4 linked regions of the Xenopus tropicalis genome follow. The protein of the gene in region 3 purifies or fractionates together with the protein of the main gene of each other region. This does not show direct contact. Links are inferred from orthologs where the notes say so. Each region holds a gene or a part of one and is shown on either strand. Other genes may lie near its edges. The genes, in order: nfkb2, cad, map3k14 and timm13.

Region 1 (7,689 bases), on a different chromosome or scaffold from region 3:
TGAAGGGAATATTTGATTAACATAATCATTTTAGTTCTGGGTTAATATTCTTCTGTTCATGTCAAATTCGGATTCCACAAGCAGAACGGAATTTTCTCCACAATAAATGAAAGCTATTGTACGTAAGTAGAAGATGGAGTGATAGAATATGACATAGAGGTCAGCGCTCCATACGTTCCAGCCTTAAGCAGCACATATTTCCTGGCTAGACTGCGACTGTACGAGCTTTGCCTTGAGACGTTCCCTCATTATCCAGTGGTTGGTGTGGATCAGCGAGTGAAGGTCTGACAAGCCCTGACCCTGTATGCATGCTTTCAGCAGCTATTTCATACGCAGGGGCAAGATATTCGGATCTCAAAGGGGGGTCAGCAATGCATTTCGGTGTATATTGTGTGTGAACACGGTAATGGTTTTTCTTTTCCTGTTAGATCAGTGCTATGCTTTGTGTAATCAAATAAAGAGCATGATTTTCGTTTCCTCATTCCTTTGTAGTTTTGGGATTGCAATGTTCTGCGCATCCTGCAGCACAAAAGGGCCCTGCGGTTTCTGATCAATGTTCTTTCCTAATGTTTAACCCTTTAGCTGCCAGAAGGACTGGCTCCATGGCTGTGCCCCTTTAGCAGCCGAAGGACTCTGTTTCTAGACATGAGGCCAGTGGCTTGTACGTATTTTGCTCAGAGGATGTACTTACTGTATCACTAGTTAATAATGCTAAGAATGTTGAATACAATGTTTTTCTTTTCTCTTCTGGTTGACTGCAAGTCATGCAACTGAAAAAAATGCCAAACTGTTTTTCTTTGTAAAAAAAAAAAAAAAATATGTGTTCGGTTTTTCCATACGTTTATTAAATTAAAACAACACTGTTACTACGGATGCTTTGTATTTATTTGGAATCTATAGGATGATTGGCAGCGTGTACAGGAGGCCAATTCAGATGCAGGGAGAAATGACCAATTGCAGGAATTCTTAGTCAGTGAACTGAGTAGGATCCAAATTACCTGAATGATCAGGCAGTGGTTTGTATGAGAGACAGGAATATGAATATGAGAGGGACTGAATAGAAAGAGGAGTAACAGAAGTAGAAATAATAAAATTAAAGCCTCAAAGAGCAAAAGCTAAACGCTGAAAAGAGTCAAAAAGAGTCAAAAGATGGGTGCAAATAATAACAATTATAAGAAATAAAATATAAAGACTAATCAGCTATTCTCTAACATATTAGAGGTTAATTTAAAGCTGAACTACCCCTTTAAATGCAAATAGGCTAAAAGAACAAGAAAAGGTTACATCTGATAATAGCAGTGTCTATATACTCAGTAATACTGCAGCACAGAGTTAGGCAGCAGGTAATGGCTGGAATGTTCATTACACCATGGTATAGTGGTGGGGGAAGATGAAAAAAAAACAGATTTCTTGTTCTCTGGACATTTACCCAGTAGGTATCAGAATAGCACTCAATAGTAAGAAATCCAAGTCTGGCTTGGGACTCCTCCAGTTACATGGGAGTAGGAGAAACAATAGGTTACCTGAAAGCAGTTCTAATGTGTAGCACTGGCTTCTTCTGAAAGCTCAGAATCAGGCACAATGCACTGAGATGGCGCCTACACACCAATATTACAACTAAAAAAAATACATTTGTTGGTTCAAGAATAACATATTAAATGGTAAAGTGAATTATATTCATGTAATGCAGTGAAATCAACAACTAACTTATAGCCACCTAATAGTCTTGCCAGAGGTGGGCCAAGCTGGCTGGGGGCACTAGGCAACCCAAAAGCCCCCAGCCCTTCCCATACATGAGTCTGCACACCTACAAGTGTGTGATTGTGATGTCGCCAGGGGAATGCATGGCGTCAAGTGGCGGCTGGGCCAAGAAAGCCTGGACTAGGCAGAAGTACCTGACTCACGTGCCTCCCCCAGTTGCACCCTAGGAAGGTACCTCTTCTACCCTTTGGTTGGGTGGGTTTCAGCCGATGAATTACTTATCAGCAGGGAGCAGGCCTATGCTCTGTGATGATGGGCTGTAATTCATGCCAGCATTTTTGATTTATAAACTTTTGCCCACCCCCAATGATATTAGAGATGGGCGGGGGTTTATAATTCATGGCAGCGCAGTGGGCCATGATGCGTGAGTGGGACATGCAGTCATTTCCTATGGCTCATACAATCACAAAAAAACAATTTGACTAAATTACATTTATTTGTAATAAAAATAAAACATTTAAATATTACATAAAAGAGTAAAGGCAAAGATGGACAGAACCACACAGTAAAACAATTAAAAAAATAAAAATATTGCTTGGGAAAGGAAAATCACCCGCAGAAGTTAAAACCCTATTAATGACTAGTGCATCCATTTTCATACAGAAGAGCATATTATTAGAGTGAAGAGTTGACCAGAGGGCAATTTTCCAGATCTCAATTCCCTTGTATAGGATTTTTTAGGGCCATTTTTTTTGTCTTCACGCACCACCAAAAATCCCTGGGGGACTGTGGGGGGCTGTACATGAGGTTGTCACACCTCTTTATTCTCTTACAGGTTTATTGCATATTCCTGAAAATGATTACTGCAGCCAAGCATTAAAAACAGCCAGTGTCTCCTTATCCAGATCTTTCAGTATAAATGCTTAAAGTCAGAATTGTCCATTGACAGCACAACTACACTTGGGGTCAGACAGACTCGAGGCACGGAGTTCGCAGACCTCAGGGTAATGTCACAGGTCCAGGCACTTTTCTCCTCCAAAGAGCACTGTGTGATTGGTGCTTACTGTCCAATAGCTGGCTCTGTGGTTGGGGAAAGCTCTGCAGACGACTGATCCACCTCCATAGACTGACTTTCATAAGCGCTGTCGTTCTTCCCTTCTGCTGGTGAGAAAAAGGCAACTTTAAAAAAACCAAAACAAACTGCACAACAATGGGCAACACTTTAACTGTACTGGAATTGAATTACATTTACCGTATATTGAAAGTGACATTGTTAAAGGGGATGTTCACCTTTAAATTAACTTTTAGCAGACATAGGCATTAATATCCCGAGACAATTTGTAACTGTTTTTCATTTTTCTATTATTTGTGGTTTTTCAGTTATTTGGCTATTTTTGAGCTGTTCTCTGAATTGGAAATTCAGCAGCTGGTTGCAAGGTCTTGTTTACCTTAGCAACCAGGCAGTGACTGGAATATGAATAGGATTGGGCCTGAATTGAAAGATAAGGAATAAAAAGTAACAATAATAAAATAGTAAGATCACCAAGCAATAGAGTTTTAGCTGCTTGGGTCAGTGACCCCCAATTAAAAGTTGGGAAGAGGCAGAACAGGAAGGGAAATAATTTAAAAATTGTAAAAATTAAACAATGAAGACCAACTGCAAAGTTGCTAGGAATAGAACATTCTACTATCATATTAAAAGTTAACTTAAGGGTGAACCACCCCTTTAATGAAATAATATACACTTGGTTGGACAAAACACTCTAAACCAAAGGCAGACTCTTCCTATTTTACTGCCTATGGTACATCCCAGCGTGTACTAAGCAAGTATCACAAGAGAACAATGGCTTCCACCAGATCATTCCCAATTCTGCAGAAGTGAAGAGAATTACAGCTATGAAACACCCCACGTGCCATTACCTATTTGCAATCTCATAAATGGCCATCTGGCTACCGGAATCACTGGCCCATGCATGTGTGTGATGCCTGTAACTGACCATCTTCGTACATGCACGGGACACTGATATGGAGAGTAAAAGCCACTGTGGGTGCACGTTTGAGATGAAACATAAAGAGTGGAGTAAAGGCGCACTAACTTGGATAATTACAATAATAAGCAGAACAGGCTTTCAGAGCATGTTTTAATGTGATTATTATTAGAGCTCCTTTGGTCCACTTTTTGCTATGTTTCCTCTTCTATAAGCTTTTGATTGGCTAACACAGTACAACAGCTTTGGTTTATTATTGAGTCACCAAGAATTTCCCTCTTCAGCAATGAAGGTGCCACCAAATCACACTGTTCCCCCTACCCATAGTTATTACTTGTTTCAAATATTGACAGTTTTTAATAAGATTTCCAAAATACAATGAGTGGATACTAACACGCAAATTGTATAATAAAACATTTTCCCATTGGCGCCTATAAAAGTTATAAAACATCAAATGTAGACAAAGGGCTAAAAGAGAGATGAGCAATTACTCCGCCAATATGGCAGGCTTTGTTCTCCTTCTAGATGTGACTCAGATGTACAATAGCATGCAGCTTAGTGCCAACAGATTCACAGCACAGTAGCAACACTTAATAAAAATGTCAGTAGGTCACTTCAGGATTGCTGAATAGGATATAAAGAAAGAGTGATGACATCGAGCTATTTGTGTAACTGCAAGACAAGTCCTAAAAGGATGAGCGATGCTGTTTAAGTTTCAAGCTGAACTTTTAGCACAGAAGTCACTAAGTATCTCAGCAGGAACTCATTCATTTAATAGAGTGGCTTAACACAGAAGCATTAATACTCCAAAGCAGAGGCTAAATATGTGCTGGGAGCAGCTTGGGGATACAAGGGCATTATACCAGCGTGGATTTCTTTGGCAAATATTTTGTTTTAGCTTAATATGTGCAGTAAGGGTGATGGCACACCTGCCCATCTGAACTGTCAAGAAAAATACATTTTTTATTTTTATTAAACAGACATACCGGGTTTCTCAGATAGAGAGGCATGATAGTCTGCTCATGACTTGAAGGGAACATTTACTCACCTCCCCTGAAGTCTCTCTGCTTTCAAGTAAATCTGTGCACCTCCCACCCAAAAAAAGCAGGAGGAAGTCAAGGGGTGGGGATGGAGAAATGTTCCTTGTGAGCCAGAGGCAGGGCAACATGGTTCCACAACATGGAACAAGGTGAGGCATAATCATATGACTATGGTTTCCTACTAATTATAGGAATTATATATATTATATATATATGTAAAAATATATATTTATTTTTGCCAGGTAAGAATGAATTTCCCTTTAAGAATTAAGAAGCACAGGCAAACCTGTAGCTGCTAACTAGCGATGAGGTTATAGACAAGTGAGTCACATGAACTGCTAAAACATATATTTTAGGTTATAAACATGAGCAGGGTCAGACTAAGAGGAATTACCTGGACTCTGATGTTTTGCATAGGTTTCTGATTTACACAGGAGTTCTACTCCTTTATTCAATCCCATCGACTGGAGAGTGTTAATCAGTTCTGTAAGACTGCCGCCAGCAAGCTACAGAGAAAAAAAGTGCAGATTTATTTTGAGTTTCCTATTTTGCACTGAATAATGGCTGCTACAGCAATTAGTTTAAAAGGATAAGATGTGAATCGACTCCGTACTTCATAGCTGCGCAGGAGACTCTCAGTAGGTGAGGAAGTGTTCCTATAGGTTTCCACTAAACTCTGCAGTCTCAGCCTTGACGCGAGTTCTGTCCAGTCTGCCCCAGTCTGACCTTCGTTCAAAAGCTTTTCAAGGCGCTGTACTGTGTTGGTCTCCAGAGCAAGAACGTTTACTAGGATTCAATATAAAGAAATGTAAGCGCGACGGATCAGTGAAAATAGACTCCATCTGCAGTGAGAGTGATAATGAGAGTGAATCTAGAGTCATACACTACCTGGCTCTGGTTCTCTCCGCTTCCAGGATGCACTGCCAGGAGTGTGTTTAGACAAAATATCTCGCACCTAATGAAATCAAAGTATAATATTAATTTATGCCATTGAGAAATAAAAGCAGCAACTCATTAGTTACATTTTCAAAATCAATTTGTAGGGTTCAAGTTTGGAGATTCTTTATTTTGAAAAGTTTTGATTTCATTTTGCTGAGCTAACAGAAAGGTTTTACACACTTAACAGACAGGGCTTATGGGTGTAGGAGGAAGCTAGAGGGCAGTATATATTTTGGCCAATATACAAGATAATATGGCAGCAAATATACATATAATATAGTATGCCACTAAAGAGGTTGCATGCAACGTTAAGTATGTTTTTTATCCTATAAGTAGTGATGCATTCATACTGCATTCTAAACCAAGGCTGCCATACCTGACCTCTGCTATAAACCAGGGCCCCATCTGACAAAGGTTAAAGAAGACATATAGCATAACTGAAAACCTCTCTAATCTTGTAGGCAACAATAAATAATAAATGGTGCTGATTTCACTCTGGGCTGTCTGGTCTCTTTAAAAATGGCCCCTTTTTTGGAGCTTCCTGTAAATCTGCTACAGACCCTGTCCCTGTTTCAGATAAGGGGTAGGTGTGTTCTAACAGTCCCTGCCAGAAGCACAGTAGGAGGGGGATAGCCAATCACAGCCCTGCAGTCACACGCAAGGACAGGCTTCAGTTCCCTATCAGGTCAGCCTAGCTGCTGATTGGTTCATGAGTGCCGCCGGCTCCCCTGTACAGCCTGGGAAGTGAAGCAAGAAGTGAAACAGATGGGTGGGACTATTTAGGATTATGCAGAAATGTTTAAATCAGCTCAAAACTTATCTTTTCTAAGAACATTCTTTCTATAGATAGAGGAGTTTAATGCACTGGCACATGGTTTTTTACACAATATGTCTCCTTTAAAGGAACAGTAACACCAAAAAATGAAAGTGTATAAAAGTAACTTAAATATAATGTGCTGCTGCCCTGCACTGGTAAAAGTTGTGTGTTTACTTCAGAAAGTCTACTATAATTTATATAAATAAGCTGCTATGTAGCCATGGGGGCAGCCATTCAAAGGAGAAAAGGCACAGGCACATAGCAGATAACAGATAAAACACTATTGTATTCTACAGAACTTGTCTGTTATCTGCTATGTAACCTGTGCCTTTTCTCCTTTTTTCCAGCTTGAATGGCTGCCCCCGTGGCTACACAGCAGCTTATTATATAAATTATAGTAGGGTTACTGTAGCAAACACACCAGTTTTACCAGTGCAGGGCAACAGTGCATTATATTTTTATTACTTTAAAGCTCTTTCATTTTTTGGTGTTACTGTTCCTTTAAGTTTTAGGCCTAAAAGTGAATAATAGTTTTACTGATCTAACTGGAAAAACTGCACTGCATCTAGTTTTTTATTAATTGTGTATGTATGTGTGCAGATCCATCCTTATTAAAATATCAGACAAACTTGGGGAACCTCAGAGAAACTACCCATGCAAGCCAGGGACACTTTTTCTAGCCTTTTTGTGACCAAGACTTTTAGCCAAATGATACAATCCCAGCTGGTCATCTTGGGTACGCTGTAGCTTTTATTAAAGCAGTTGTTCTTCATATTACCCCATATGTACTAACTCATCTCACCAGACTTTCAACTATAAACCATGTCAAAATATTACACAGAGTCTGGAAGGAAGCTTGCACCAGTGCTTACACAGATAATGGCAAATATCTCACCTTCTGGCTTTTTGTTAAGTCTAGAGCAGTGTGACCCGGGTATCGTCTCTTCACTGCACAGTGTGGTCTGATACCCCTTTGTTCCTTACTGTGCATCTCCTCTGCACTGTGCTCACAATCTGAGTCCACAGCTGTGCTGCTGTCTGTATCAGAGCCCCCGTGGTGGTCAGAATCTGTGTCCATTTGCACATCAGAGTCACTCTCGGAAGTATCACTGTTACAGGATGGTAACTTATTTACAGGTTCGTCATTCTCTGAAAGAACATTGGCTCCTGCGCAGCGAGAAGAAAATATGTAGCATTCAGGCGC
Region 2 (8,000 bases), on a different chromosome or scaffold from region 3:
CGAACACATTGTGGTATCATTGGGGCCCAGGAAGAACTGACCCATGAACAGGGGGTAAGTGGGCCGAACACATTATGGTATTATTGGGGCCAAGGAAGAACTGACCCATGAACAGGGGATGTGTGGGTGTGGGCCGAACACATTATGGTATTATTGGGGCCAAGGAAGAACTGACCCATGAACAGGGGGTGTGTGGGTGTGGGCCGAACACATTATGGTATTATTGGGGCCAAGGAAGAACTGACCCATGAACAGGGGGTGTGTGGGCCGAACACATTATGGTATTATTGGGGCCAAGGAAGAACTGACCCATGAACAGGGGGTGTGTGGGCCGAACACATTATGGTATTATTGGGGCCAAGGAAGAACTGACCCATGAACAGGGGGTGTGTGCCGAACACATTATGGTATTATTGGGGCCAAGGAAGAACTGACCCATGAACAGGGGGTGTGTGGGTGTGGGCCGAACACATTATGGTATTATTGGGGCCCAGGAAGAACTGACCCATGAACAGGGGATGTGTGGGCCGAACACATTATGGTATTATTGGGGCCCAGGAAGAACTGACCCATGAACAGGGGGTGTGTGGGTGTGGGCCGAACACATTATGGTATTATTGGGGCCAAGGAAGAACTGACCCATGAACAGGGGGTGTGTGGGTGTGGGCCGAACACATTATGGTATTATTGGGGCCAAGGAAGAACTGACCCATGAACAGGGGGTGTGTGGGCCGAACACATTATGGTATTATTGGGGCCCAGGAAGAACTGACCCATGAACAGGGGGTGTGTGGGTGTGGGCCGAACACATTATGGTATTATTGGGGCCAAGGAAGAACTGACCCATGAACAGGGGGTGTGTGGGCCGAACACATTATGGTATTATTGGGGCCAAGGAAGAACTGACCCATGAACAGGGGGTGTGTGGGCCGAACACATTATGGTATTATTGGGGCCAAGGAAGAACTGACCCATGAACAGGGGGTGTGTGCCGAACACATTATGGTATTATTGGGGCCAAGGAAGAACTGACCCATGAACAGGGGGTGTGTGGGTGTGGGCCGAACACATTATGGTATTATTGGGGCCAAGGAAGAAATGACCCATGAACAGGGGGTGTGTGGGTGTGGGCCGAACACATTATGGTATTATTGGGGCCAAGGAAGAACTGACCCATGAACAGGGGGTGTGTGGGTGTGGGCCGAACACATTATGGTATTATTGGGGCCAAGGAAGAACTGACCCATGAACAGGGGGTGTGTGGGCCGAACACATTATGGTATTATTGGGGCCCAGGAAGAACTGACCCATGAACAGGGGGTGTGTGGGCCGAACACATTATGGTATTATTGGGGCCCAGGAAGAACTGACCCATGAACAGGGGATGTGTGGGTGTGGGCCGAACACATTATGGTATTATTGGGGCCCAGGAAGAACTGACCCATGAACAGGGGGTGTGTGGGCCGAACAGATTATGGTATTATTGGGGCCAAGGAAGAACTGACCCATGAACAGGGGGTGTGTGGGTGTGGGCCGAACACATTATGGTATTATTGGGGCCCAGGAAGAACTGACCCATGAACAGGGGGTGTGTGGGCCGAACAGATTATGGTATTATTGGGGCCCAGGAAGAACTGACCCATGAACAGGGGGTGTGTGGGCCGAACAGATTATGGTATTATTGGGGCCCAGGAAGAACTGACCCATGAACAGGGGATGTGTGGGTGTGGGCCGAACACATTATGGTATTGTTGGGGCCCAGGAAGAACTGACCCATGAACAGGGGGTGTGTGGGTGTGGGCCGAATAGATTATGGTATTGTTGGGGCCCAGGAAGAACTACATAGTAACATACATAGTAACATAGTAAGTTGGGTTGAAAAAAGACATACGTCCATCAAGTTCAACCATAATGCCTATATATAACCTGCCTAACTACTAGTTGATCCAACTGACCCATGAACAGGGGGTGTGGGCCGAACAGATTATGGTATTATTGGGGCCCAGGAAGAACTGACCCATGAACACATCGCTGTCATAGGGATGCACTGTATCCACTAATTTGGGATTCGTCTGAACCCCACAGAACATGGTGAAAAATGTTCAACCTCCGTGTTTATGTGGTGAAAATTCATGTGATTTTAGGGATTCGGATTCAGCCAGACACATTGATTGGGCAGAATCCAAATCCTGCTGAAAATGGCAGAATCTTGGCCAAAACCTGAAACCAAATCCTGGATGCCAAATTAGCACACTTAGCGCCCAATAAGGACCAACCCATAAACACATGACATTATTAGCCATTACGTGCCACTTACCTCATCAGATGCGGATTTGATGCAGTGATCAAAGCCCACGCAGTTCTCGTCCACCATGCGCAGAGCTTTCTGGAAGGCTTCTTCAAAGTTCCTACCAACAGACATGACCTCCCCTAGGGAAGTAGGGAACAGTTTAGCCACGGAGGGGCTACTACAACAAACACCTCCCACATCTAATACCCCCCCCCCCCCCAAAGCCCCATATTCACCTACCCACACTCTTCATGGAGCTGCCAATCTTGGTGCTGACTCGCAAGAACTTGCTCAGGTCCCAGCGCGGAACCTTCACCACACAGTAATCCAGGCTGGGCTCAAAGTTGGCTGTGGTGGAGTTGGTCACGGAGTTTCTGGGCAAACAAAATGGCAATAACAAGTGAAATCCACAGCGTGATTGACCCCCAACAAAGAGGGAAAGCTCAACGGACACTACAAAATGAGTGGCCCAGTCTTTAGCCTCCACAGGGACAAGCTGAGGAACTTGCAGGGCCACAGAGCGCTGTACCTGAGAACGGGCAGAGGAATTCCCAGTGCCAGCTTGGCAGCCACATACGCCAGGGGGTAACCAGTTGCTTTACTCGCCAGGGCTGAGCTGCGAGACAGCCGTGCGTTCACCTCGATGATGTAATACTGGGGGGGAGAAGGAATAAAGCCCAATATGTTAGTGCCCTTCAGGTTTGGGACCGACTCTATGACCCGTTTGGGTTCCAGGGTGCCAGTTACCTGCTCAGACTCCGGGTTTAGGGCGTACTGTATGTTACACTCGCCCACAATGCCGAGGTGCTGGATAACCTTAATGGCCGTGTTGCGCAGCATGTTGTACTCTCGATCGTTCAGCGTCTGGCTGGGAGCTACCACGATGGACTCGCCAGTGTGAATGCCCAGGGGATCTACGTTCTCCATGTTGCACACCTGGGAGGAGAAGAGCAGAAGGGTTCAGCGGCACCGACTTGGCACACATTTAGCCCAATGTACCCCTAAGGCTCCATGATGGAACGACTGGTCTGCGCGTCAGCAGGTGGGCAAAGCCCCAGCCCATCTCCAACCCTGTGTGCCGCCCACACCTGGGCACTACCCCGTGAGTAGGGCATTCTCACCGTGACACAGTTATTATAGGCGTCCCGCACGACTTCGTACTCTATCTCCTTCCAGCCCTTCAGGGATTTATCCACCAGGACCTGTGTGGTGTGGGCGAAGGCCTGGCACACCAGGGCAGTCAACTCCTCCTTGGTACTGGCAAATCCAGATCCAAGGCCGCCCAGCGCGTAGGCCGACCGGACCAAAACCGGATACCCGAGACGTTCTGCAGCAGCCTGGGCCTGGAGGCACAAGAGCATTAATATAAAGAAGCAGCATGTGGGCACGGGGCATATGGGCAGAGAACTGTGCCAGGCGTGTGGGTTTCAGGGACCCGGAAGATTCCCGGCAGGTTGGCGTTTCATTACGGGTGCCATTTGTGATTTCAGGTTTAAATGACACTTACCCCACTCCCTGCCACCCTGCGTTATACACCATCACTGGGCTCTTGCCCGCACAGGTGGCACAGATGGTACATAAAGTGCAATAACAAGAGGAGGGCTCATTGCTACACGCACATAACATACATGTAGCCAGGCGATCACATGTGTAGCACTTACTGTAAACCATGAGAATTTGCTGTGTCACAATTATTTTAGCAGGGACTTTTTTGGTTGGTCCAATAGATCCTCCTACCCAGCTGATTGGCCAGGCTGATTTGCTTCCTGTGCGTGACTACAGAAGCTCTATGTGCAATGCTGTATTTATCTCACAATACTGGGGGGGAACTTATTGTGCAGAGAGTTGCAGTCACACCATGCCCCCCCATATCACGGACACAAGAGACACCCACAGTAATCTCTTACCTGCTCTAAGGAGAAAGCTGCCTCACTGGGGGCCACGTGTTCTCCAATCTCCTCCATCTTCTCCACAAACACTTTGCGATCTTCCGTCATTTCAATGGACTTCACAGGGGTCCCCAGAACCCGCACATTGTACTTCTCTAGGACTCCCTGCTTGGTCAGCTCCACCCCACAGTTCAATGCAGTCTGACCCCCAAACGTCAGGAGGATCCCATCTGGCCGCTCATTCTTTATCACCTGGGAAGGACATCAGACTCTTCATGTTCCTCCTTACTTCTTGCTCAGGGGAGCCCTGTGTCCCTCCCAGTCTCCTCCCCTACTGGGTTCTATGTTTATATGGTTACTGGCCATCAGAGCTTCCTATTGGCTAACTGCCTGAGATGAGACTATTTATGCCCCACCTTACTTCCTGCTCAGGGGAGCCCTGTGTCCCTCCCAGTCTCCTCCCCTACTGGGTTCTTTGTTTCTATGGTTACTGGCCATCAGAGCTTCCTATTGGCTAACTGCCTGAGATCAGACTATTTATGCTCCACCTTACTTCCTGCTCAGGGGAGCCCTGTGTCCCTCCCAGTCTCCTCCCCTACTGGGTTCTATGTTTCTATGGTTACTGGCCATCAGAGCTTCCTATTGGATACCTGCCTGAGATCAGACTATTTATGCCCCACCTTACTTCCTGCTCAGGGGAGCCCTGTGTCCCTCCCAGTCTCCTCCCCTACTGGGCCATCAGAGCTTCCTATTGGCTAACTGCCTGAGATCAAACTATTTATGCCCCACCTTACTTCCTGCTCAGGGGAGCCCTGTGTCCCTCCCAGTCTCTTCCCCTACTGGGTTCTATGTTTCTATGGTACTGGCCCATCTGGGCTCCCATTCCCTAGGGGAGCCCCGTGTCCCTCCCAGGCGCATAGACTTGCCAAGTGAACCCCACAAACACCAAGCTGTGATGCTCCACCCATTTAGTTAACCCCTTATAGAGACAGGAGCCTCCTTGCTGGAGAGAGAGGATGAGGAGGGAAACACTTACCTGAGTGACATATTCAGGGGTGATTGGCAGGAAATAAACCTTGTCGGCGAGGCCTTTCGATGTCTGCACTGTGGCGATGTTGGGGTTAATCAGGACAGTCTGGATGTTCTCTTCCTTCAGAGCTTTGATGGCCTGCAGGGGGCAAAGGAAAGTAACTCACGTGCCCCCCCTAATGGGACATGGCGCCTGCCCCTCCCACTGCAGAATGACAGCCAGCAGGGAGTTATGGGACATGGCGCCTGCCCCTCCCACTGCAGAATGACAGCCAGCAGGGAGTTATGGGACATGGCGCCTGCCCCTCCCACTGCACAGCTCAGAAGAGAAATAATACAGAGAGAAGGAACGGGGGGTGCAGGGGGGGCAATAACACTGCGGCCGGGAGGGAAATGTACCTGGGAGCCAGAGTAGTCGAACTCCCCGGCCTGGCCAATCGACAGCCCCCCTGAGCCCAGGATCAGCACTTTGTGTGGGCGAGAGGCCTCTAGGTCTGTGACACTGGGAGACTCCTTGTATGTGAGCAGCTCAGTCACTCGCTGTTTAACTGGGGGGGGAACACAGGGAGGGGGGTAAATCCCTAAACCAGACTCACGAGCCATCAGCTCCCACTCCTATGGTGCATCTGCCCCAGGTTACAGTGTATATCCCCCTGCCATTCTGTTATTGCCCCTTGGGCAGCACTCGGGCCCCTATGGTGTATCTGCCCCAGGTTACAGTGTATATCCCCCCATTCTGTTATTGTCCCATGGGCAGCACTCGGGCCCCTATGGTGCATCTGCCCCAGGTTACAGTGTGTATCCCCCCCCCATTCTGTTACTGCCCCACGGGCAGCACTCGGGCCCCTAGTACCCATAGCCCCTCCACTCACCCGTCTTCTCTCCTGAATCTCCAGCCTTCCGGTCTCTCACAGTGTCCAGGAACACATCAAACAGGCCGACCAGATCCATGGGCCCAGCACAGTGCTCGGGGTGGAACTGCACACTGGGGGGCAAGAACTGGGCATTAGGGCAAGCGCTGGGGCTCTTAAACATACCAAGCGGCAACGGAAATGTTACAGGGAAACACTATGGCACCTCCTACCCATATGTATAAATACAAATATACAGAGAAGGAATGTTCTGGGCACACAATAAGCTGTACCCCCATACTGTACTGTCTAAGGGAAACACTATGGCACCTCCTACCCATATGTATAAATACAAATATACAGAGAGGGAATGTTCTGGGCACACAATAAGCTGTACCCCCATACTGTACTGTCTAAGGGAAACACTATGGCACCCCCTACCCATATGTATAAATACAAATATACAGAGAAGGAATGTACAATATGCTGTACCCCCATACTGCCCTGCATCTGCACTCTTTCTGCCCCCGTCCCCCCAGTACCTGAAAAAGGGCTTAGAATCATGGATAATTCCCTCATTTGATTGGTCGTTGGCATTCGTGAACAGAGGAGACCAGCCTTCCGGTAAAGTGTTTGGGTCCACGGCGTATCCATGGTTCTGTGAGGTTATGAAGCAGCGCCGAGAGCTCTCATGGATGCACGGCTGGTTGTGCCCACGATTCCCGTACCTGGGGGCAAACATTCAGGTTAATCCCACTGTGACAGAATGCGCTGTTATACAGATAGCTAGAATCTCAGCCATAAAGCAGGGCAGGACTGCTGCTTACAATGGGGGGATCAGATAGGATCTGTGCCACTGTGACAGAATGCTCTGTTATACAGATAGCTAGAATCTCAGCCATAAAGCAGGGCAGGACTGCTGCTTACAATGGGGGGATCAGATAGGATCTGTGCCACTGTGACAGAATGCTCTGTTATACAGATAGCTAGAATCTCAGCCATAAAGCAGGGCAGGACTGCTGCTTACAATGGGGGGATCAGATAGGATCTGTGCCACTGTGACAGAATGCTCTGTTATACAGATAGCTAGAATCTCAGCCATAAAGCAGGGCAGGACTGCTGCTTACAATGGGGGGATCAGATAGGATCTGTGCCACTGTGACAGAATGCTCTGTTATACAGATAGCTAGAATCTCAGCCATAAAGCAGGGCAGGACTGCTGCTTACAATGGGGGGATCAGATAGGATCTGTGCCACTGTGACAGAATGCTCTGTTATACAGATAGCTAGAATCTCAGCCATAAAGCAGGGCAGGACTGCTGCTTACAATGGGGGGGATCAGATAGGATCTGTGCCACTGTGACAGAATGCTCTGTTATACAGATAGCTAGAATCTCAGCCATAAAGCAGGGCAGGACTGCTGCTTACAATGGGGGGGATCAGATAGGATCTGTGCCACTGTGACAGAATGCTCTGTTATACAGATAGCTAGAATCTCAGCCATAAAGCAGGGCAGGACTGCTGCTTACAATGGGGGGATCAGATAAGGAGATTTTATACTCACCGGAAAATCCTTTTCTCGTAGGCCCGAACTGTCAGTGCAGACGTTAAGGGTTTTGTCTGTGATCACCTCTGGAGGCAGGACAGAGAATTTAGACCTAGTGGCTCCTGGTCCCTCCCACTGTATATAAGGCTCGTCTCCACCCTCACTCCTCAGTTCTGTTGGTAAGCTCAGTCGGTGGAGACAGTACAGATAGAAGGAAGGCCAAGAGACATAAGGTAGAAAGATAGCGAGAAGAGAGGTCCCGGTGCCCATACTAAATCAGCCTGGGTGGGACTTACTGCACTGACAGTTCGGGCCTACGAGAAAAGGATTTTCCGGTGAGTATAAAATCTCCTTTTCTCTATCGGCCCTCCTGTCAGTGCAGACGTTAGGGGACG
Region 3 (8,770 bases):
CTAATCTCCCTGCAATGCCATCCCACTGGAAAGAATGTAAATCGCCGGTAGGATGGCATATGGGTCGCTTTGTTTTCTCGAAGTCGCCCAAAGTTTCCTTGAGAGGCAACTTCAGACAACTTCGCCAAACGAAGAGTCAAGGGAGCACGGACTAGGGGTAGGCAGGAGAGGTACCTGCCTAGAACCCCCCTATCGTTGCGCCCTAGGCAGGTGCCTTTTCTGCCTATCCCTAGTTTTGGCCCTGTATAAATGTGTTTTTAAAGGGTAGCAGGAGTGTGAAATGGTGTAGGCTTCTGATTGCACCCCATGTGTCCGTAATGCAAATATTATCTCCACTTCCGTCTGCATTAAATACTAACCTAACCAGAAGCTCCTGGCCCCTGGCCAGCGAGTGTGTAGAACCGGTTCTTTGTAAGCATGTGATGCAACGTATGCTTAGGCACAACTACGTGCAGGCTGCAGAAGCACAGGGTGACTATTAACAGTAAATTAAGATGAAATTTAAACATTTTACATTTTATGTGCATGTATATGTAACAACATAAACGTTACCCTAATGTATCTAGTGGATAACTAATTTTGTGCAATTACCTGCATCAAGACAAAATGCATCTACACAGGGTGCCTTTTATTTGACTCGTTTGTCTATTTACACAGTGATTCCCTATGCCACCCAGTGCATATGCTCTATAGTGATTTTCCTCAGAGGTGGCCAGGCGGCGGGCGTCCCCAACGCTCCCCTCCTGTGCACGCACAAAAACCGTGTGCGCGCTCAGACGTCGTAAAGGGGGGGTGCTATGAAATGAGCAGTGGGGGCAGGAGATCCCACACTAGGGTTTGGCAAAAAAGGTACCTGCCTAGCACCCCCTCAATGTTGCACCCTAGGAAAGTGCCTCTTCTGCCTACCCCTAGATCCGGCCCTAATTTGTCTGTCTTTACTATACAGGTCATGTGCTGGCCAGGGTGGCGCTAGAAATCACTAACAAAATAGACAAAGATGGTGGCACAGCTCTCTAATGGACATTATATGTTTTGAGATTCTGCACCAATGCAACCAGAGCCCTTTAGCAGGGAAGATCTGTGCCTCTGAAGATGCCCCAGTAGCTCCCCATATTCTTTGGGCTGCTGTCACTTACCTGAGTTTAGGGACTGACTCACAATATACAGTATATATAGAATATAAAAGTCACCAGACTAATTCGTTATTAATTCAGATATTCATTACATAGCAGCTCGGAAATCAGTGCGATTTGCATTAGAATTATTTAATAATATCAACATCTGTGACAGATGAACCTTGTATTCTGCTTGATGGTTTGCAACAATTCCCAAAGCTCAGCTTTATAACAGCTGCCTAGAACACACTGAGCATGTGCAGTGCCACCGTCACTCCTTGCAAAATCCAGGATAGGGAGCTCCTGTGTGCAGCTTTGAAAACCTGAATCATTTCTGCTGGACCTATAGGCTGGTGCATTAAGTCAGTATATAAAATATAAATATAGATAAATATACAAATATAGTTTTGAGAGTTTAGTTCTACTTTAAAGCTGTCAATGCTGCAAATGATATGGGGATTGAGCATTTATGAAAACAGGATATTCTATTTTTTAATTTCTTTAAAGAATTTTTTAAAATATAAAATAAGTTTGAGTTTCAGTGCTTTGAAATAAAAATATGAGAGCACAATTAAGGGCAGATTTATTAACATTCTGATTTTCATGGTTTTCGAGTTTTTTGAAACCACAACTAAACTCATTTTCTCTAAAACTATGAATGTCAAGTGATTTATTAAAGCAGCCTTTTAAAAAAAAAAGCACAAAAAAAAATAGGAAAAACACATAGGGGCTGATTCACTAAAGTCCGAAAAAACGAGTGCTATTTACAGCATGCGTTAAAAATATTATCTCTTCTTATTTTTTGCAAGTTAACGATCGATTTACTAAAAGGACACTTATCATAATTAAGAAGCGATGTTCTTGTTATTATTTATCTGGTGATGAGCGATTTTTAAGCAATATTTTAATGCATGCAATATATTTATGCGCTATTTCGTATCACATGATATTAGCGCACGCTATTACATACGTAACCATTACTTTCTGAAAACTACTGTTCTGAAAATTACCATTTCCCTGAAAACACAAGCATGCATCACTCTAGGAAGATCACATACTGCAAACTCCGACTGCAAACTCCATCTTGTCACCACAGCAATTTTGTTCAATAACGCCTACTCCTGGGAGGCGCTAAGTTTCACAGTTTTACGCATTTAACGCTTCATATGTTTGTAAATCATGGGTTAGTATTATTTCTATGCGATAATTACCGCAATGCGATAAAAATAATGCTTTGCGATAATGCGTTTTTTTGCACATGTGATATGAGTGTTAACCCATACGAAATTACTTTGATGAATCGGTACTTATTTATCGCATGCTTTTTAACGCAAAAAAATATGCAATAAGTGTTAACGACCTTTAGTGAATCGGCCCCATATTGTCACACAAACAAAAAGCATCAAAATAATCCAAAAACCTCTAAAATCACGAAGCAAAGAAAGATCTTCCAGCGGCAAAAAGGAGACCTGCCATGGACTTCTACATGACCTGGGCAGCTTTTAAGTGGAGGGTTTTTCTTTTTATATTTGTCGCAGGTTTGTTGCATAATAAATGGTAAAAAAAATCATATATATTTTCCTTGACAAAATTGTATTTTTGCACAAAAAAAACAACCTTTAGTAAATGCTCCCCTTAGAATTTGCTGTTGAGTCTAACCGAGTTTCTGACAGCTGTGTGCATTCTACTTTGCCTTTTCTAATACTGTTTTTTAATACTGTCTACTATTTATTTTTTTTACGAGCCTTCATGTTCAAGTGTTCAATTTAGAGATTGCTTGCTTGCATGTGAAAAAAATCTCACCCCCGCACCAGTTTAGAGCATTCTCTAAACCAATGGCTGTTGTCTTCCTGTAAATATGTGCTCTTGCCTGGAAATCCCATGAGCTGAGGAACCAATCAGAATGTGCCAATGAGCTCACCAAAAGAAGGGGGGGGTAAGAGACGAAGGGGAGGGTTATGGAAGAAGGAGGTGCAGTTGCTGCTGTACAGGCAGTTGAAGTTAGAGGCAAGTGCCTGGGAGAGAAGTGAACAGTCTGGGAAAAAGTAGGGAAAAAATCAGTGAAAACTGGAGGGTGGGAGGAAGGAGAGTGGGGAAGAGAGCGTGGACTTTCTGTGGATACAGAGGAAGAAGACAGTGTGGAAAACTGTAAGGAAAATAAGAACAGGAGCTGGTAAGCAGTGCCGGGCTGAGTCTGAATGGGAGGGTTGTGCTTTTAAGGCAGAATCATGGCGCCTAATAATGTACAGTATATACTGTAGGTGTCACTTGACTTGGGCGCTAAAGTTGGCTTCCACCAACAGCGTAGTAGGTGTGTCTACATGCAAGAGTGGTCAACAGTTTGTGTGCAAAGCACTCTGGGAATATATGCACACTGAGGGGGGTCTTAAGGGGTCAAAAGGGTTGATTGTAGGTTCCGCAGAATATTTCTATGCAACGCAACAATAATAGATCTGAGATGTAATGTACAGTACTTACTGTATGTATCAGTTGTCTTGGGTGCTTAAGTGGGTGGGAGTATTAAGGGATCAATAGAATTGACTGGATTTGTCAACCACCTTAGCTTTGGCACAGAGTTGCAGATACATGAAAACTTTGTGCCGTCACCCTGCTGTAGTTCTACGAGTATGTAAATAAGTGGAGTACAATGGGCGGTGATAATAAAAGAACAGTTGATTTTGTGCACATTTCGCCACACTTACATGTGAGCAGAGGCTGCCATACCGATTGCCTTGTCTAAGGTAGCCTGGAAATACAAGTTTATGACCAGCTGGAATAGGATTCCTCCGCTCTTGCAATATGGCAGCTTCCACTTTTGTGTAAATGTAAGGAATATTCCTTGCACATCCACTACCTATACATAGTTTAACAAGAAAAGTTGTATAAGAGAAACACAACTGGTATAAGGATGATAAAGATATAAGGATGATTTCACTTTTACATGAGATGAAGGGTTTGCCTGTAGCCGTGGTGTATGAGACGGGACCCAAACTTGCCCCAACTGTAACCTTGGTTGATTCCAGGAGGCCTTATTATGGGGTTAAAATGACTATTATTGCTTAAACTCAATGTATTCTTTTGCATAAAGGTTTACAGTGAGTATTTAATTATTAATCCACTTTAAGCCAATGAATAGCATCTTATTTTTTTGGAGATAATGTCCTTTTAAATGCTTGGTGTGGGGTGAGTGTGTGTTATTTTGGCATGGTCTGTTACATGAGTGAATTTACATGAGAGATCCTGTGCACAAGTTCTGAGTGGGAGGCCAATGCTGTGACTCATTCGTCAATACTCTAACTTGGATTCCAATCCAATCAGACAGCCCTCCCACATGTCCCAGCCTGATGGCAGCTGGTGTGTGTCTTAGTATTACTTGAAGTACAGAAGTACTGCTTGGGTACTTACTCCAGGTGGAACTTACTGCGGGTGCAAGTAGGGCAGTTGCACTTTATGGGTAGGTGGGCCTCATTACTGATATCAAGAAGGAAACTTCTTACTCCAATGTATGCCACTTCTGCACATGTTGGAGTCCAGCAACATCTGTAGGGTGGCAAATTGGGCAACAGTGGCATGAAATATTACTCCCACTATCTTGGCCTGGTAAACCAACTACCCCTTAACTGCTGTTTTTCAGGGTGTTGGACACGGGCAGTTACTTTTGTTTGTGTTCCCAGTAGATATATCCACCTGGAAGCTGTTGGTATAGGAGCAAAATTGCATGGTGCAACTTTTCTACTAGGGTATGAAGCTGTAGATCTTATGGTATTAGAACTTTGGCACATATTGCAGCAAAAATAGCATCTTCCAGATGAAAACTTGCGGATCAGTAAAATCCATGATTGTCACCTAGAAAACATGGATGGCTGCATATTAGGCAAGAATCACAGACCATAATCTACAAACAGCTCCTACTGCTGGTGTCAATAAGAAGTGACCAGTGGTTATTGGTATCATTGATATCATTGTTATCATTGTTATATTGTTATCGCTAATTTGACCTGCAGTGATTGCCATTGTTTTATCACTAATTTGACCTGCAGTGATTGCCATTGTTTTATCACTAATTTGACCTGCAGTGATTGCCATTGTTTTATCACTAATCTGAACTGCAGTGACTGCCATTGTTGTATCACTAATTCAGACTGCAGCAATTTCCACAATTTCCGTCTTATCACAACTTTGATCTGGATTAATAGCAACACTTATACGCATGCCATGAGCCTAAAACTAGATAACAAAGTGTACCAGTCTGCATTTTTACTTTTAAGTTAGAGATACACCCACAATCCACCTTGTCAGACCTTTCTATAGAAAAGGTCTTCCGTGTCACATTGCCTTTAGCCTGGATTTATCATTGAGGAATGCATATAGAGGTATTCTTTTTATAACCCCACAAGAAAACATCAGATTGGCAGACCCCTAGGTTGCACCTTCTATTTAAAATATAAACTCAATGCACTAACAGTGGTCATTGGTACTTACATGCTATAGTGCCCATTTTTTGGGGCAATCTTGGGATCAGTGATGGTGAAGAGGTAGCACAAAACAAAAGCAGTGAGTGGTGAATTTGGGGTGAATTTGAAAATGATTCTGCGTTCAGTGTTGGTGAAGGTGCAGTAAATGAAATAAAGCCATACATTAGAGTGTATCTGCACATGGCCCTGAGAGCAGTGATGATGAAAGAGTAGGACTTGACAAAGGGAGCAAGTCAGGGCAGATTTGGTCATGGTTCTATTGGCCAAAAATGTCCCGAATTTTGGATCCTCTCTCTGGCCTGTTGACTTGGGCTACTGTCAACGATTAAAGCAAATCTGGATTGTTTATTGGATCTCTTATAATAAGGAAATAAAGGTGGACAATGGTCAGATGACTATGTGCATCTATGTAAAAACTTAGAGATGGATTGAACCCATGATTCAGTTTGGGATTTGGACATCATGTGACTTTAAAAGACTTAAATACAGAGCAATATTTTGTTCACAGATAATATAATTTTTTATTTGTTTCAAATTTGAATATACAAGTAGGGTTTTGATTTGGTTCAGCATTTGACCAAATGTTGTATGGAGGATTCAGTATTCAGGCTAAATCGATAATTTATGGATTAGGTTCAAAATGTCCTGTTGATGCCCATTGCATCCAAGTTTTACTTGCAACACGGACATCATCAATAGCATATGCGTCATAGAGGCCAGTCATTTCTAGGACAGACTGCCCAGGTGTGCCCGAAGAACTACATAGGGGGTATGGTTGAAATTTGGGGTAATTCTTCATTTATTTTTGTGGTTTAAGCTGGAACCAAAAGAAAGTGCCTATTTTAGCCATATTTCCATCAGTATGTTACCTTGTTACAAACTTGTTCTGCGCTGCGCAAACTAAATGTTGGGCAGAAAAGGGGTTCTTCAACCTAAAAAAAAATTTGAAAAGTTTTGCTAGGGCAAGGATGGAAGGGGTTAACCAAATACCAGCAGTTATTGTTGTTGCCACTCCCTGTGTCTTTGAGATAAGGATTAGAGAGTTTTTGTTTGTATATGGTTGTAGTCCTAAGAGCTGTGGAATCTGTGTTACTCACCAAAGTATGTTTTGGTGTATATGAACAGTTATTAGCATGGACTTTGATACCAGGATCACTGATTATACACCACTATACTAGATCCAGAGAAAAGCAATTGCACTCTCTGCACTAGTGCCCCAGAATTGCCACTGTTTTAATAAGTGGTGTTTTGTCAATAGTTCTTTGTTACTACACTTGGTATGCAAAAGAGCATCTACCCTCATTCAGGGTAGAGTGAAAAGCAGTAGAGGTATGGGACCCATTATCTAGAATGCTTGGGACCTGGGGTTTTCCAGATAAGGGGTCTTTCTGTAATTTGGATCTCCTACCTTAAGTCTGCTAAAAACGTTATTTAAACAGTAATTAAACCCAGTAGGATTATATTGCCTCCAATAAGGATTAATTATATCTTAGTTGGGATCAAGTACAAGGTACTGTTTTATTATTACAGAGAAAAACTAAATCATTTTTAAAAATGTGAATTATTTTATTAAAATGGAGTCTATGGGAGATGGCCTTTCCGTAATTTGGAACTTTCTGGATAATGGGTTTCCGGATAAGGGGTCCGATACCTGTATCTTTTTTAACTCTATGGGATATGGCATTAAACTGAGTTTTCTGCCACCTGTGTGATGGCTTGGCAGGTGGGCAGGCAAGCAAACACTCAAATTTGGCTCATCATTGAGTATATGGTAATAATAATAAAGTGGGTCAGGGAAATATGGCTTTACTGTTTGTAATTTACAATGTCAAGTGTTTCTGACCAGTGATGCACCAGTAAGGTCAGAGTTATTACTATGTAACTCTAGGGGGCAAATTTGAGTGTTTTACTGCCTGCTGATCTGCTGGCAAAATGCTTGAATTCGTACTATGTGCCATAGTCTCTAAATGGGCAGAATACTCCTTTTCAATGTGAATGCAGTAAACAGGGCCTGTGTAGTAAATGCTTTTCACCTATTGTTTCAATCATGACAAATCTGTGTTTCTTGTTACTAGCAGCTCTGTGTGTCGTCACTCTTAGATGGCTATACGCACAGGGTTGGACTGGGGGTGCAGGTCCACCGGGGCTGCCACCGCAGGGGCCCCACACACACCCAGGGGCTCCCTTTAGGGGCCCCTGCTACACGTACATGCCCCCTGCAGGGGCCCCATCCCTCCCTTCGAGCATGCATAAGTCTTCACCCTTAGATGGCTATACACACAGGGTGAGACTGGGGGTGCGGGCCCACCGGGGCTGCCACCGCAGGGGCCCCACACCCCCCCAGGAGCTCCCTGCAGGGGCCCCTGCTGCACGCACACGCCCCCCCCGCAGGGGCCCTCCCTCCCTCCAAGCGTGCATAAGTAGATGCAATCAGGGGAGGGAGGCCAGCTGGGATTATATCTGGCCCAGTCTGACCCTGTATACACATACATACTACATGAAATATAGTTTTGTAGAGTGTGCGGTTACCATGGCAATAGGTAATTTAGCCGATTGGACAGGTTATAAAATTTTGGTCGTATTACAAAAATATCTGTGCATTTAATGTGTATCTGATGAAATCTTGGGGTGACCTACAACATATTTTCAGGACTTAACTTTTGTAAAATATTAATGCTCAGAACATTGTCCAATTTGTTATTTTTAGTACAGATATGGAACTCATTATCCAGAATACTTGGAACCTGGGGTTTTCTGGATAAGGGATCTTTCCATAACAGTAATTAAACCCAATAGGATTGTTTTGCCTCCAAAAAGGATTAATTATATCTTAGTCTTATCTGTAGTGGTCTCAGATGAGGTCTGCGACTACTCTGGTAATAAATATATAGAATATAGACCGTACTTGGAAACACTATATATTGTTTTTGGGCTCAGAAACAAACTTCTTTTCCTAAAAGAGAGGCCAGAGCCACATCAGCAGAAAATAAAGTAGGCCATCTTGCCTGATACAAGGTCCTCTGCAATCACTTCCTGGTTGGTTTCTCTGGTGATGGAACGGCAGATTAGGGAACAGAGAATGGTTACAGTGTTTGTTTGTTTTTTTTGTTTTTGTGATTGAGTCATCTACATACTTGTTTAGTTGCCATTCAGTGCTGCTAGTTTGATATAAAAGTATAA
Region 4 (8,065 bases), on a different chromosome or scaffold from region 3:
ACTGCCTGTGTGTGCCATACACTGCCTGCGTGTGCCATACTTTGACTGTGTGTGCCATTCTTGGCCTGTGTGTGCCATACTCTGCCTGCCCTACCCTGCCTGTGTGTGTATGGCACACACAGGCAGCATACAGTGACACAATGCTGGAACTGCTCCTACAGTCTGGACAATAACTATATATTAAAAAAAATTTTAATTGCAGTACCTACAGTCTGAGGTGTGAAAAGGGGAACATTGTGGGTGATTAGAGCCTGAGCCTGAGGTGTGAACACTGCAGAGGGTGAACAATGCAGAGATTAAAAGGTGTGAACAACACAGGGGATTACATTTTTAAACAATACAGGGGGATTACAGCCTGAATCTGAGGTGTGAACCATGCAGGGGGGGCAGTTAATCTCAGTACTGATTACCATTTAAAGCTTACACAAGAGTAAGGCATCAAAGCAGCCAGACAGGTGGGGGGCCACACAGAGGGGGGTCGCGGGCCGCGCCAGTTGGACAGCACTGCTTTAGATCATTTAGTAGTTAGCCAGGTTTCACTTGAAGCTTGAACTTGATGGTCATGTTTTCTTGCAACCTCATTTATTATGTTTAGATTATATTATGTAAACAAGCAAACTTTAACCTTCACACATGGTCTGGAGAGAGAATGAACAAGCTAAATGTTTGTGCGTGTTGCCTTTTTACTGTAAAGTAGTAAAAGTAAGGCAATTTTATATTTGAATCAGGAGCAAGCCATTGTCCACTTCTAATGTATGTGCTTTCTCTTTCCAGGGTGATGCTGGGGGACCCTTGGCATGTAGGGAGCCATCTGGTCGGTGGTTTCTAGCAGGAATAACCAGCTGGGGTTATGGTTGTGCAAGGCCTTATTTCCCAGGAGTTTACACTCGGATAACATCTGTCCGCAACTGGATTGGACAGAATCTACGGTTATGAAGATTCTGACTCAGGGTGTGGCACAGATGGGCAGCCACTTGGAAATAGCTGGTGGGACAAACTTGAAGGGCCATATTTACCACCTGGTTACATCAAACATATGCAATTAACCCAAAAGACATTTTACTGCCCATATTGCTTTATTCACTTGTATGCTTTCAAAGCAGAACATTTAGAGTATATTTTCTATAAATAAAGGTGACCTGTTATTATGACAACGTATAAGGACTTTGTAAGTGTGCTTATGTGTAACAGATCTTAATGTATAACAGAGGATTCAGGGTGGAGATGTAACAAATGACTTAATATATTTCCTACACTCAGGAAAGTCATACACACCTGTCCAGAAAAGTTTTTACACTTTCAGATAAAGAGTAACTGACCCATAAAGGTGGCTATACACGTTAAGAGTCTTTCGATTACTTAGCCCTAGGGCTGATCGGTCCGACAAAAAAGGCGGGTATATGAGTCGTTGGACCGAGAACCGCATTAACAAGCTTGCGGTTCCAGATGTGAGGGGAGAATCAAACCTGCAGATTAAGATCTGGCCAATTTTAGGCCAGGTATCTGTCAGCAAGCCCTTCAGGGGACCCACACATATGATAAGCTGCTGAAATAATCTAAAGGACCGAATTGGCAGCTGAAATCTGCCCGTGTATGACCACCATAAGACTATTAGCCTTGTTATGTGTATAGAATAGAAATATTGCTTAAGTTTTAAAAGGATTCAGTGTTTTTGCTGAAAAGCAAGTGTGAGAAAAACTTACTAAGCAATAGCAATAAAAATTGCCAATATGTTATGCACCCCCTAATGAATTCCAATTGTTACAGGGTTTTTTTTCAATCGGACCAGGGCTCCATTTATGAAAAAAATGCAGGGTCATCATCTTTCTTACCTTTGCCAGGCATGCCTCATCAGACTTAGATGTGTGCCTGCACATTTGAGTACAGTTATCAGATCTTACGTTACCGTGAACACGCATGTTTAAGTCTGCACTAATCTTAGCAATTGAATTCAATAGAGAGGGGTATAAAATATTGATGACCCCTATGCAATTGTGAGAGCACAAATTTTGAGTGCAGTACATACATTTTTAATCTCAAAGAATGTTGTGTGATAATACATAAATTTGTACTGAGAAAATCTTATCACAGGTCATGTATTTACCTAGGTTGCTCATGTTTGTATTAGAAGAGCTCTGATCTTGTTTCATGAGCTTCCAAGATCAATTACATAGGCAAATGATTAAAACCACAAACATATCAGTAGTTTCACAGACTGGAGAGCAAAGGTGGCCATGCAACGCAGCGAAATTATGGTATGAAACAAGGTTTCCAACAATATTCAGTTTGTGTGTGGTGGGAGACAAGGTGGCCAATATTGGCAAAAGCCTTGGATATTGGTCATTTTACCAACTGGAAAGTATGGAAAGTTTTAATATGGTGCCTTCAAAGGACATCAGCAAAACATTAATGTTGAATAGTCAGAGGTAGAATTCTTTTTTTTCTACCTGCATTTCAGCTCTTAACATTAGTAGAGAAAACAATCTTCCTGCGACCATTGTAATTGTCACGTGTGTGGACGCCTTTGAGACTTTACTCTTCAGTCTTTAAAATTATCAATATGTCTGTAGCCTCAAAGTAAAATGATGCATACTTATCCCACTGATAAAGAGTAGAATTTATTCAAAACATTCCAACAAGGCCTGAAGGCTCAGCAAGTTGGCAAAATCAGTTTTAGCTTTAAATACTATAGTTATGCAATTAATGTACCCATATATTAATTTATTATTTTGTCTGGAAAATGAAATCCTACACAAGACCAAAGTTCTGCTGCAATTATGTATGAAAACACATTAATTTACCAACAAATTAGATAGTTTTGCATTAGATCTGCAGAGTTCCATGGAAAATGCAACCGTCAATACAAAAGGTTTAGGCCTCGGACACATTACAAAAATTGTTTTATTTCCATACTCTAGAAAACAGGATTTCCCACACATCGGTCATATTATGTGATGCTGGAGAAAGCGGTTAGCTCTCTAATTATGGTAAGAAATCCCAATTTCTCTAAGACCTCCAACAGGAATATAATATTTATTTTAGCACTGACACACAAAAATAAAAAGGAAAATAGGGCTATTATGACTAAAAAAGTCAAACTACAATTAACCAGCAATTTATCATATGTAAATCCTGCCTATCTGGAACTGGATGGCTGCACAACAGCAGCTGTAAAAAAAACTTCATGGCTTATGAGATTTAACTCTTTAAGAAAATAGGTTTTGAGAAAAAATTACCAGTGCCAACACTATAGATTCTAGAGTTTCAAGTATGATGGAAAAAAAATGTATTGACTAGTCGTTAAATTATTGTTTAACCCTTGAAATAAACTAAAACATGGTCAATAACAGTTAGTGATTCCTGCATTAACAGTTAACATTTTTAATTAGAAATGTATCATTGTCTGGTAGTTGTCCTTTTCTATATTTCTAAATCAGCTCAGTGCTTGTGTTGTAGATAGGTCTTGCAGTGTTCTTTTATCAGGTCACATCTTGGCACGTTCTCGTTGCAATCTGGAGTTGTATGCCCGAGAAACTGTGTTCCAGGCATCCATATATCTGTCCATACACATTGCAATACATTTCTACAGAGAGAAAGATAATGAAGCATTACAAAAATAAGTCTGAGCAAGAAAAAAAAATCTGAGTGTTATGGTTTTGAAAAGTCAAAATATTTTGACACTATGAATATTTTGCTCTCCAACCAAAAGTCGACTCTTGGGTGGACTTTTCCAACAGTAAAGCTATAAACTATGTAGAGATTTTTATACAAGAAAAACAGTAGCTCCATGGGAAGACAAGTTAAATCTTAGTCTGAGTTTTTAAATTTCTCAATAAGGTTGGCAGATTAACATTTTCCACCTGAAAGGAGAAGGAAAGGTAAAAACCAAGTAAGCTTGATCAGAAAGGTCTATGTAAATACAGCCATAAGCTCTCACAGAAAAGCTGCATGGAGTCCTCTATCAAAAGAAACACAGCTGCAGCAGGAAGCTACCAAGACCAAGCTAAAATGCCAGCTGCTATCGGAGGGAGATACTAAGGTTCTTTACTCAGGTATAGTTAAGCTTTCAGCTGAATAAATATAGCATTCTATGTGGCACTAATGTGGCAAATCTATTGGCAGTAAAATGCTCAAAATTATTTTCCTTCTACTTTAAGAAAAGGCCCCAGGCAGTTCTGCTCCCTCCCCAGCTACACAGCATTTGGGCCCCCTGGAACATGGGCTCTGAGTCACCGCCATTATGAAAATATGCCATCTGCTGCACACTTTGCCCTGCCCCAGTATCTTTTACCCACCTTTTACAATGAAAGTAAATGACCAATGACAGTCAATCAATGAAAGCCCATCTTCTGAAATAAGCTGGATGGGGTTGATTTACAAACACAACTGCTCAATTACAGTGCAATGCAGTTGTCTATAGCAATTAATCAGGTCATTGCTCTCATTTTTAAATTGGTAGTAGACTGAATCAATTAGCAGTTATGCCTGAGCAAAAAGGTTTTAAGCAAAAAAAGATTCTAATCAATCAATGAAGGAGAGCTAACAAAAGGGATGCAGGAGGTATTCATTTTATGATGACAAAAAAGTGTGATGACATAAAAACTGGACCATTGGGTACTATTCCCTTAGAGGGGACTCAGGTTAGTTAACACTTGTGTTCCAGTGCAGTGGGACTCATCAACTCAATTTGGCCTAACATCTGGAGTGGGTAAACAAGCCTGTGTATGGATAGCTTAAGGGCAGTGGCACACGGGGATATTAGTTGCCCCCGCGTCAAATCTTCGCCACCGCAGGCAACTAATCTTCCAGCAATACCATCCCACCGGCAAGAATGCAAATCGCCAGTGGGATGGCATACGTGATGCTTCATTTTCGTAGCAACATGTAATGCCATCCCACCGGGGATTTATATTCTTGCCGGTAGCATGGCATTGTGGGGAGATTATAAATCGCCAGTGGGATGGCATACATGCCGCTTTGTTTTTCATAGCAATGCATAAGCCATCCCACCGATGATTTACATTCTTGCCGGTGTGATGGCATTGTGGGGAGATTAGTTGGCCGTGTTAATGAAGATTTGTCCCGGGGTGACTAATCTCCCTTAGTGACACTGCCCTTAGACAATGAAGTACAATATCTGATTAGAAACCAAAATGGTGGCACATACTAGTTGTTCAGAACATTCTATTCTCTCTCTAGATAAATGCAGCCGAGACTGTCACAAATGTAAGATTAGGCCAACACAAATTTTGGCACCATAGGATGAGTTTGATATAGTCAGACAACTTAAATGTTTTGCAGTTTATGGAGAAACGATCTCTGTTTAGTTTAAGGCAGAGGGCATTTTTAGTAGCTTAATACAAAGAATGCCTTAACCTCCTTTTGCTAATGGGTGAGTGAGAAGGACATCTTGTTTGTGTCTGGCACCACAGGTTGTCTTTTTTTATTTTTTTAAAGCAGCCATGTAATCAAAAGCACACTCTCCAATACACAGACAACTTGTCCTACACAGTAAATCAACATTCTCCTGTCAATTATAGTCACATCTTTACTTGCTTGTCAATCTTCTAAAAACCATGCAAATGAGTTCTCAGTGTTGAAACGGTTTAGTGTATTGGCACCAAGTATAGTGGTGAACATACCTGCTCAGAATTGTCGAGAGATCCACCTGGCTTTCCAATACATTTTCGGAAACATTTATCAGTCATTCTCTACAAAAGGAGTATGTTTAGATCAGTATTTACACAGAAAACCTTTCATAGAATAATAAATATTTGATTATAAATCTTTATTAGTTCTGCACAACCTAATGTTCTCCATAACAGGAGACCTAATCTGCACATTATGCATAAACTACTAGTTCTTTTGTGACCAAATGTTTATTTTACCACTGTAAGAACAAATATCTCTCAATTACCTAACCAGTTTCATAAATGCTGTAACTCTTCTGTTAAAAAGCAAAGTATCGCTAACCCCTAAAAAAAAAAAGCAAAGTATCGCTAATCCCTAGCTAAAAATGCAAAGTAGCGTAGCTGCTTACCAACTGAAGACTCTTCGGGTCTCACTGCTGATGCACAGTTAAAGCAGATTTCCTGCTACCTCTAACTGCACATGCGCAAGCAGGTTCGTATCGGCAGAGAGACCCAAAGTCTCTTAAGTTAGTAAGATGATGTCGGCCAGGTACGCTGCTGTGCTACTCTGCATTTTTAGCTAGGGGTTAGCGATACTTTGCTTTTTAACAGAAGACCAGTAAATGCTATCTGCTGATTGATTGCTACAACTAACTAGACCTGTAGTACACTTTGACCAAGATGTTAAAGGAGAAGGAAAGCTAAGAACTTAGTAAGCTTTATCAGAATGGTCTATGTAAATACAGCCATAAGCACTCACAGAGTCCTCTATAAAAAGAAACACAGGATTTCTTGTCTCCTTTTGTGTATACATATACTTTGGTATCTGACTTCCTCTCAGAAAAGTCCTTCATTCAGGGCCCGGAGTCTGTGCAGCTCTTCTCCTCTCTCCTGCTCTCCCCTCCAAAAAGAATTTAAAAGAATGAATCCCCCTCCCATCAGAATGTGTGACATATGCTACTAACAGCTAGAGCTGCAGCAGGAAGCTGTGGAGACCAAGATAAATGGCAGCTGCTTTCTTAAATAAACAGAGGGAGTTTCTAGGGCTGCTTACTCAGGTATGGTAAAGCTTTCTGCAGAATAAATATAGCGTTGTAGCTTGCACTAATGTCGCTAATCTATTGGCAATAAAATGCCAAAATGACTTTCCTTCTCCTTTAAGGTTGATTTTACCTGTGGCAATTTCTTGTGATCCTGGACAAGTTAGTTAAAGGAACAGTAACCTCTAAAAATGAAAGTGATCTTAAAGAATGGCAATATAATGTACTGATGCCCTGCAGTGGTAAAACTCAGTGTTCAGAAACACTACTTTTGTTTATATGAACAAGCTGCTCAGTAGCCATGGGAGCAGCCATTCAAGCACAGTACACACGGTTGATAACAGATAAACTCTGTAGTATACAAATCTGAGTCTGCACAGCTTACCCGTTATCTGTTGTGTAACCTGTGCCTTTTTGGCCTTGCTGTGTAGCCATGTGGGGAGCCATTCAGCTTGTTTATATAAGCTATAGTAAAGTTTCTGAAAAAAAGGCACCAGTTGTACTAGTGCAGTACATCATATTTTAACTACTTTAAAACACTTTGATTTTTGGTGTTCCTGTTTCTTTAATCTTCTGGTGTTTCAGCATCCTTAGGAATACTTAGGAAGACTTTTGCAAACTGTCACTGTGAAAATCCCAACTTTATCAAATTGTCACTGCGACAATTTGAAAAATTAGTAGTGATTTTTGGACAAAACACAGAAAGAACTTTAAGGAAAGGTAAGGGACCTCTGCCTTAGACTTCTACATGAACTCGGCAAGTTTAATCTGCCAAATTGCCAAATTCTGATTTTTAGCCTTTTAGACTCATTGTAAATCTCAGAAGTCGTGTTTTTATTCTGTGAATTTTTTGGAAAAAAATTTGAATCGAGTTTAAAATTTTAAATCGATGGTTAGTAAATGAGCCCCATAGTGTGCCTATAATTGCTGTAAAGTGCTTAGAGCCCCATTGAGAAAAGTGCTCTATAAATTATGCCCTTACACAAGCCCACTGGGGTTTTAAATTGATTATCTGAAAGCAAAAATTACAGTACTCTCAACATGAATACCATACAAAATATGCACCCAATCTGTATTAACAAAAATTGCCTATTGAAAAATGCTTCAACCCCTAAGCCAGTATGACTTGACACTACACCGACAGAAACATACACTGAAAGTGTATGAAAAACACTGTGAAAAAAGGAGTACTTTTTGTGAAATTGACTGTTCTAATTATTGAGTTATATGTGACAAGGCTTGGCCACAGAGGCCGATTTTCCCACTGTAAATATAGGGTTGACCCACCACATAAGAATCAAAACCTGATCTTCAAATAGCATATCTGTGATCAATATAAACAAGATGGCCCTACAGCAATGCACAGCTACCTCCTGGGCTACAATATGGGGCATA

The links.
Region 1: the proteins of map3k14 (region 3) and nfkb2 purify together in Homo sapiens (affinity purification with mass spectrometry; 6 studies listed by BioGRID and IntAct, with this or other methods). This does not show direct contact. The link is inferred for Xenopus tropicalis from reciprocal best matches to the Homo sapiens genes MAP3K14 and NFKB2.
Region 2: the proteins of map3k14 (region 3) and cad purify together in Homo sapiens (affinity purification with mass spectrometry; 3 studies listed by BioGRID and IntAct, with this or other methods). This does not show direct contact. The link is inferred for Xenopus tropicalis from reciprocal best matches to the Homo sapiens genes MAP3K14 and CAD.
Region 4: the proteins of map3k14 (region 3) and timm13 purify together in Homo sapiens (affinity purification with mass spectrometry; 3 studies listed by BioGRID and IntAct, with this or other methods). This does not show direct contact. The link is inferred for Xenopus tropicalis from reciprocal best matches to the Homo sapiens genes MAP3K14 and TIMM13.

The regions. Positions count from the first base shown.
Region 1 is NC_030683.2:43,660,059-43,667,747, forward strand, and holds the end of nfkb2 (nuclear factor NF-kappa-B p100 subunit), read right to left. Parts: intron 7,653-7,689; coding exon 7,381-7,652; intron 5,685-7,380; coding exon 5,618-5,684; intron 5,516-5,617; coding exon 5,343-5,515; intron 5,236-5,342; coding exon 5,124-5,235; intron 2,863-5,123; coding exon 2,762-2,862; 3' UTR 2,179-2,761; downstream 1-2,178. UniProt on the Homo sapiens protein: NF-kappa-B is a pleiotropic transcription factor present in almost all cell types and is the endpoint of a series of signal transduction events that are initiated by a vast array of stimuli related to many biological processes such as inflammation, immunity, differentiation, cell growth, tumorigenesis and apoptosis.
Region 2 is NC_030681.2:162,291,212-162,299,211, reverse strand, and holds part of cad (CAD protein), read right to left. Parts: intron 6,788-8,000; coding exon 6,602-6,787; intron 6,194-6,601; coding exon 6,081-6,193; intron 5,757-6,080; coding exon 5,608-5,756; intron 5,348-5,607; coding exon 5,216-5,347; intron 4,432-5,215; coding exon 4,198-4,431; intron 3,634-4,197; coding exon 3,412-3,633; intron 3,227-3,411; coding exon 3,038-3,226; intron 2,945-3,037; coding exon 2,820-2,944; intron 2,665-2,819; coding exon 2,531-2,664; intron 2,431-2,530; coding exon 2,318-2,430; intron 1-2,317. UniProt on the Homo sapiens protein: Multifunctional protein that encodes the first 3 enzymatic activities of the de novo pyrimidine pathway: carbamoylphosphate synthetase (CPSase; EC 6.3.5.5), aspartate transcarbamylase (ATCase; EC 2.1.3.2) and dihydroorotase (DHOase; EC 3.5.2.3).
Region 3 is NC_030686.2:17,612,948-17,621,717, reverse strand, and holds the start of map3k14 (mitogen-activated protein kinase kinase kinase 14), read left to right. Parts: upstream 1-3,084; 5' UTR 3,085-3,288; intron 3,289-8,770.
Region 4 is NC_030677.2:92,863,757-92,871,821, forward strand, and holds the end of timm13 (mitochondrial import inner membrane translocase subunit Tim13), read right to left. Parts: intron 5,712-8,065; coding exon 5,643-5,711; intron 3,584-5,642; coding exon 3,485-3,583; 3' UTR 2,603-3,484; downstream 1-2,602. Other genes in the region: tmprss9 (transmembrane protease serine 9), read left to right, coding at 775-936. UniProt on the Homo sapiens protein: Mitochondrial intermembrane chaperone that participates in the import and insertion of some multi-pass transmembrane proteins into the mitochondrial inner membrane.